Linked DNA regions of Tribolium castaneum. The protein of the gene in region 2 purifies or fractionates together with the protein of the main gene of each other region. This does not show direct contact. Links are inferred from orthologs where the notes say so. Each region holds a gene or a part of one and is shown on either strand. Other genes may lie near its edges.

Region 1 (4,425 bases), on a different chromosome or scaffold from region 2:
GGATTCTCTTCAAAAGTTTGAATTACAGCCCCAAGTATTTCTTCATTTACAGTGACGTGTTTTGTTCTCACTCGATTTAGTTCAGGTACGCTTCCTGTGTCTTCAAATTGTTGACGATTCTTTGAACTTTAAATTTCATAAATAACATTTCACAAAAAGTCCAAAGACACTTTCCATAGGCGAATATTGTTTCCTTTTACAACAACACAGAAATTTCTGCCAGTGTTGTTTGTTTTTAAAGTAATTTCACCAAATTAAAACAATTTTACTTTTTTGACAGCACACACACTTTTGATACAGTGGGACACAAAATGCCGCATGATTATTCAAATATTTTGAAAATTTGGATTTAGTTTTTAACAACAAAATCAATTTTTTTTTCTTGGATCAACCGAGCGATTTGGTTAATTTTTTGTGGAGCCATCTATTTTTCGGGGTTTAATAATCCAATACTAATTCAGCTTAATTTTAAATAAAAGAAATGTGTTTTAAAATTACATTTCTTAACTTATGTCATTTTTTGCCCCTAATGGAAAAAACACCTCCTAAAATATGTGCATTCTAAATTTCATAAAAATCTGTTGACAAATAACTGATATATTAAGCTCGAAAGTCTTAGCTGAGACACTCTGTATATATCTAAGGAAAAAGTCAATAATACAAGTTATGGACTATTTTCGGCTCGTTGGAACAGCCTGAATGTGAAGAATGAAGAAAATACCAAATCCAATATTGTTAGAGGCTCTGAACCCGTCAGGTCCACACCATACATTTATTAACTAACACATAACTATTTTATTTATTTACTTAGAATTTTGGTATTGCCAGTACCTTCTTAACTTTATATTAAATTCAACTTAACTTTATATTTTATAGAAGCGTCATTAAGTTAATCTGCAATTAAATGCATCACGTGACCAAATTGAACAAATTTGATTGGTCTATTCGCGTTGTTAACTTTTAAAAACGAATTAAATTAAAGCTTTCTATAAACCGGCCCAAAGTAGTTTTCTGAAATATAGTTTTTTTTTATATAATCACTTGTCAGTGTCAAAATTCTGATAAAGACCAGACTATTTCATCCTAAAAGTTCATGTCCACCCACTTTTGAAACTGGCTGTATTCTGTATTTGACATTTTGAACACCAGATTTGGCATTTTTGAAAATTAGATGTTAGTGTTAATCGTTAATTCGTTAGTCTAAAAGTGGTCTAAAATAACTAAATGTGTTGTTGTACGCGTTTTAAATTGGAGACAATTTGAAAAATTTGGAAATTGAATGTGCCAGGTAAAAAATTACACCAACCTTAATTCAAAAAAATTACTCTATTTATGATAATGCCAACCTGACGGTTCTTAGATAGTTGATTATAAACAAAAACGACGATATGATTGTACATGCGATCATTTCAATTTATAGTTAGATTAGGCGGTTTTTATCTTTGTAATTAATAAATTAGTGCAACATGAAAGAAAAAATGTATTCCAATTGAATATTACTATTCGAAATTTTATTATTTGACTTTCAGCTTGATTAATTATGATAATCAGCGTTTTCAAAGCCTACTCTAATCATAAATTCAATGAGATCGAAAATAAACTGAATTAGAGCAGGTCATGCTGCGGAATTTTAGCCAAATGTCAAAAAATGAGAGACTATGATTTTTCAAAAACTGATTCCTTGCTTCATCTAAATTATACCAAAATGGTGTTTAAAAGCCTACATCGTAGAATGCTATTTTAATAACAAGTGAAAAAAAAGAGACTGACAGAAATCTTCAATTGGCAGAATTTCGGTTATTTGCTAACATAAAAACAGTATTTCTGGACATCTTCTTAATCTTATCTACTGTCTTTTGCAACACGATGTTTTGAAAAGAAGTGTGGCTAAAAATGCACTTCCCTTGGCTTGCTTTAATTCAGTAAATTTTCGATCTCATGGCATAAGAAACAATTTCAGAACACCAAAGGGCCTAAAGAGCTTGACCTTCCCCACATGTAGACTTGTGTTAGAATTTTTTCACTCGTCAAATAAAGCGTCCGATTTCCACTCAAAATAAATAACTATCATTTGTTTATTTACCCCTGCGAGTCGATGAGAAGATTCTCCGGTTTCAGATCCCTGTAGATCAGATCTAGATAGTGCAAGTATTCGAAAGCGAGCACAATTTGGGCAGCATAAAACCTCGAATGTGGCTCAGAGAAGCGTCCGACTTTCCTCAAATGCGAAAACATCTCTCCTCCAGGCACATACTCCAACACCATGTACAAGTTCGAATTGTCTTTGAAGTGAAACCGCAGACTGACTAGGAACGGGAAACTGATCGCCTGCAGGATGCGCTTCTCGTTGAGGGTGTGCTCCACCTGCTTCAACTTGACCACCTTTTGCTTATCGAGGATTTTCATCGCATAGTACTCTTTCGTGGGTTTGTGTTGGACGATCATTACACGTCCGAATGAACCCGTACCTAGGGTTTTAATGCGCTCGAAGTCGTCCAAACAGGCGGTGTTTGTCGGATTCTTCTTCCACTTCTCCTCGAAGTCCTCCTTGGCCTGGTCGAGGAACTCCTTCACGCTTTCGGCGGAGTCGACCTTTTTGTTCGCCGTTGCGGCATTGTTGCCCATGGTTTGGACTTGGACACCTTCCAGGGCTTCGATTGATTTCTAACACCGCCTGAAGCACCAAGGATGAGCTCGGAGCGGATGTCGCGTTTGGTTTGTGTCAACACAACGATCCGTACACACGCATTATTGAGTTTATCTCGCACGATTGAGGCACAGACACTGATTAAAACGGGCAACACAAATTCAAAATACACGCCGAAAAACCAACGAGCTAACGATAAAATGGCTACCAAGTGCCCAGATTTTCACTTCATTTGGGGATTGAAGCGAAGACACTCGCTCGCAAGTCAATTACACGGTTTAATGGGGAGATAAGAGAGGACGCCACCGAACGGATGGTAATGCTTGGGGAAAGCGGACAACAAGCGAAATACAAGCAATGCGCGAGATTTAAATCAAGTTTAAACATTTTTATTTTAATCATCGTAAAACAGGTTAGGTAACACTTGTCAGTGTCAATGAACTGTCAAATGTGACACGACTGTGACAGTGCCTACTTGAAAAATAATTCGTAACAATACATTATTAATTTTATTCATAAATTAATACTATTACGACGAATTCTAAACGTAATATGTGCAAAATTCATCAACATTCATTACTAATCACATAGGTACTCAATATTCAAAACTCTTAATTAATTTTTTTTAATTTTTTAAATATTAGAAATGTGTATAATTGGTTGCGTCCACAGTTCAAAATATCAAAGAATATTAAAAAAAGATTGCTGTTTGGAAAGTTTGTCCTTAATAAAACTGAGAGTACATTAATTAAACCGTAACGCAAACGTCTCATTTTAGTTTCAGGATGTTTTACTATAATTTAATCAATACTGTATTTTTTGAAATATTTTTTTGATTTCTACAAGATTAATTGCGATGTATTTTTCAAAATTTGAAAAAATTAATAGCTAAAATAATGAATAGTTGCAATAAGAGATCTAATTCTTAATAACTAGGGTTCGGAAAATATGCATTAAAAAAAACCTAAAATATGCACCATAAATATGCTATATTGCTGTCATACAATTTAAAAAAAAAGTAAGTCTTTCTTACATTATACATAATTTTTAATTACAAAAGCCATAAAAATAATAAGTACAAATCTCCAATAAGTTATATACAACATATCTGTATTTTTTGCAGTTACACACATTTTTTTGTCACAATTCTGTTACATAATTTTTTATTTATTAACTATTAGCGTTGTAATTGTATATTGTAACATATTTTTCTAAGTTTTCTAGAATAAAACTTTGTCTCCTATCTGTTAAAATTAGTTTGTAGAAAAAAAGGACCTCATTGAAGCAAATTGAAATTAATTTAGAAAATGAGTTTTATTCTTTTTGTCGTTGAACTTTGTTAATTTGGGTTAGAAATGCAAATTGTAACTAAATAATTATTGTACATTTTCAAAAAATAGAAAAAATTAAATGTATTGCAAGAAAATAATTTTTTGCTGCAACCTGCGATTGTCGTTTTGTGAGACACTACTAAAGAATTTGCTTTCATATTCAAAAACCAAAAGCAATCTGAATGTTAGAAATTTACTATACTAATTTCCAAAATCGGCTTAATTATAGGTAATTCATAATTACAAACTTTCTTCGAAAATCCAGAAAACTCCTCTATCTTCAGCTTATTGCTTAGCAGAAGGTACGGGTTCATTTCTACTTGCTTGTATGTACATGTTAGATGTTTCAAAACTATATAAACACCAACGTTTGTTAACAAATTATTATTTTATTTTTTTAAATAAATTTGATAAAAAGCTAAAATACATACCCCTCTAACGAATAAA
Region 2 (3,478 bases):
TTTAATCTTAATTTAACAGCAGGTAGGTTTCGTACAAGTTAAAATAAAATTCATATATTTTTTCTATCCATCAAAGATTTATCATTTTCTACAGAAAATATTTTCCACGGCGCAACCACCATTTTTGTAAAATATTTTTAATCCTATTTTACCTGCATCTTGTTTGTCGGTAGTTTTCGTACAAGTTAAAGTAAATTTCAAACATTTTTTTATATCAATCAGCAATTTATACATTTTTTACAAAAAATATTTTCCCCGGCGCCTCCACCATTTTTGTAAAATATTTTTATTCCTAATTTAGCTGCATCTTCTTTGTCGGTAGTTTTCGAACAATAAATTTCTCCTGTTGAATGGATTTGTAATTAAAAAAATAATAACTTGTGACTTTACTCCTATTTTATGCCAAATTTTATAAGATTTTTTCAAACAAAAATCTGTTTTTTTTAGTAATGTGTAAATAAAGCTACATTGATAAAAAAACACAAAAAGGTAAATAAAAAACCATAACATAAAAATAATAAGTTTTTATTAAAATCAAGTTGGTTTCACAATAGACAGTTTATAAAAATCTTTACACCTAAGTTCTTTAACGGTGCGATCAGCAGCCTAGAATAAAGACAATTAAAATGCAAATTCTGCATTCAAACAAAACTTACATTCCTAACACTTCCAATCGAATCATACATTAGAGCTTCCAAAGTCTCTCTCACAGTTTCATTCCAAAAAACTTCCACCTTATTGGCTGGCAAATGTTTGCCTAAAAACAAAAGAAAAAAACACGTCCGTTCTTGCATCAGGGGATTATTATGTCGCAATAATTCCACAAAATTAACACTTTTCCCTTCATTCAAAACAATTCGATCGACTAGTTCAAAATGTTCGGGAAAAACGCGCAAAACATGCGTCAAAATCGCCAACAAATCCATAACCAGTTGTAATCGACTTTTGCAAATCAAAAGAAACGATTTCAAAATCGCATACACATTCAAAACAGCGATGGAATCACACAATTGACTCAAAAACTCGTTATCCAAATGCACCAAATGTGTAATCAACATATAGACACATTCAAGTGCTTCAAAATCTTCCTCTGTTAAATCAGCTATATTCTTGTAAGTCGTTTCATCACTGGAACTTTTCAAGACTTTCATTATTTTTTTGAAGGAGTAAATCAAATTTGGAACCAACTTCACTAAGACGAACACTTTTTTGATTTGTTCCTTGATCTCGTGTGAAATTCCTCGAAGAGCGAAAGGTAACGATAAAAGCTTAGCGACATAAATCAACACTTTTGGACTTGTATTAGTGTTACGTAACGGTGACACAATTATGTTAGTCAGGTATGTTTGTGTCAACGAAGTGAGTTCACCTCCGATAACTTCCTCCATTGATTTTTGCAAAAAAACGATCCATTCTTCAGTTTCAATCGAATGATTTTCTACAATAAAAAAGTCATTTCGAACGGATAATGATAAATCATTGTTTTTTAAGTCTTGTGTTGAAACTTTCGGTCCACCATTTTTGAAAAATAAATTGTATATCAATCAGTGATTTAGAATTTTTTATGGAAAATATATTTCCCGGCACATCTACCATCTTTGTAAAATATTTTTAATTCTAATTTAACTGCATCTTGTTTGTTGGTGGTTAAAGTAAATTTCAAACATTTTTTATATCAATCAGTGATTTATAACTATTTTACAAACAATATTTTCCCCGGCGCATCCACCATTTTTAAAACATTTTTTAATCCTAATTTAGTTGCATCTTAGTTATCGATAGTTTTCGAACAAGTTAAAGTAAATTTCAAACATTTTTTATATCAATCAGTAATTTCTAAATTTTTTACAGAAAATATTTTCCTCGACGCATCCACCAATTTTGTAAAAAAATAATCCCAATTTAACTGCATCATTTTTTATATCAATCATTTTCAATTAATTGTTGTTTTATTTAATTCTGTTTTTTTATATTTTTGAACAGGATAGATAAATAAATAATTTTAATTTTTGTACAAAAAATATTTTTCCCGGCGCATCCACCATTTTTGTAAAATATTTTCAATCCTAATTTAACTGATCTTGTTTATCGGTAGTTTTTGTACAAGTTAAGGTAAAATTCAAACATTTTTTTATATTAATCAGTAATATATAAATTTTTTACAAAAAATATTTTTCCTGGCGCATCCATTATTTTTCTAAAATATTTATAATCCTAATTTAACTGCATCTTGTTTATCGCTAGTTTTCGTACAAGTTAAAGAAATTTTCAGACATTTTTTATATCAATTAATGATATATAATTTTTTTACAGCACTTTTTTTTTCGGCTCATCCACTCTTTTTGTAAAATATTTTCAATCCTCATTAATTTAACTACATCTTATTTGAAGGTAGTTTTCATAGAAGTTAAAATAAAATTCAAGCATTTTTGATATCACTCAGAGATTTATTAATTTTTTACAGAAAATATTTTCCCCGGCGCATCCACCATTTTTGTCAAATATTTTTAAACCTAATTTAACTGCATCTTATTTGTCGGTAGTTTTCGTAAAAGTTAAAGTAAATTTCAGATATAAATATTTTCCAAGGCGCATCCACCATTTTTGTAAAATATTTTGAATCCTAATTTAACTTCATCTTGTTTATCGATAGTTTTTGTACACGTTAAAGAAAATTTCAGACATTTTTTATATCAATCAATAATATATAATATTTTTACAGCAATTTTTTTTTCGGCTCATCCACTCTTTTTGTAAAATATTTTCGACACTAATTAATTCAACTGCATCTTATTTGTCGGTAGTTTTCGTACAAGTTCAAATAAAATTCAAACATTTTTATATCAATCAGTGATTTATTAATTTTTTACTGATTATATTTTTCCCGGCACATTTACCATTTTTTTAAATATTTTTAAACCTAATTTAACTGCATCTTGTTTGTCGGTAGTTTTTGTACAAGTTAAAGTAAAATTCAAATTTTTTTTATATCAATCAGTGATTTATATTTTTTTACAGAAAATATTTTCCCCGGCGCATCCACCATTTTTGTTTTGTCGGTAGTTTTCGAACGATAAATTTCTCCTATTGACTGGATTTGTAATTAATGTAATGTAATGTAATGTAATAATGACTTGTGGCTTTACTCCTATTTTATGCTAAATTTTATAAGATTTTTTCAAACAAAAATCTGTTTTTTTTAGTAATGTGTAAATAAAGCTAAATTGATAAAAAAAACACAAAAAGGTAAATAAAAACCATAACATAAGAATAATAAGTTTTTATTAAAATCAAGTTGGTTTCACAATAGACAGTTTATAAAAATCTTTACACCTAAGTTCTTCAACGGTGCGATCATCAGCCTAGAATAAAAATAATTAAAATCCAAATTCTGTATTCGAACCAAACTTACATTCCTAACACTTCCAATCGAATCATACATTAGAGCTTCCAAAGTCTCTCTCACCGTTTCATTCCA

The links.
Region 1: the proteins of fu (region 2) and cAMP-dependent protein kinase catalytic subunit 1 purify together in Drosophila melanogaster (affinity purification with western blotting; 3 studies listed by BioGRID, with this or other methods). This does not show direct contact. The link is inferred for Tribolium castaneum from reciprocal best matches to the Drosophila melanogaster genes fu and Pka-C1.

The regions. Positions count from the first base shown.
Region 1 is NC_087397.1:21,579,070-21,583,494, reverse strand, and holds the start of cAMP-dependent protein kinase catalytic subunit 1, read right to left. Parts: upstream 2,955-4,425; 5' UTR 2,626-2,954; coding exon 2,084-2,625; intron 1-2,083. UniProt on the Drosophila melanogaster protein: Serine/threonine-protein kinase involved in memory formation. Promotes long-term memory by phosphorylating meng and by regulating CrebB protein stability and activity.
Region 2 is NC_087395.1:1,143,357-1,146,834, forward strand, and holds the end of fu (serine/threonine-protein kinase fused), read right to left. Parts: exon of another isoform or gene 3,413-3,478; intron 3,363-3,412; exon of another isoform or gene 3,266-3,362; intron 1,493-3,265; coding exon 657-1,492; intron 607-656; coding exon 535-606; 3' UTR 510-534; downstream 1-509. UniProt on the Drosophila melanogaster protein: Probable serine/threonine-protein kinase; maternally required for correct patterning in the posterior part of each embryonic metamere. May be involved in control of cell division during metamorphosis and ovarian development. May interact with costal-2.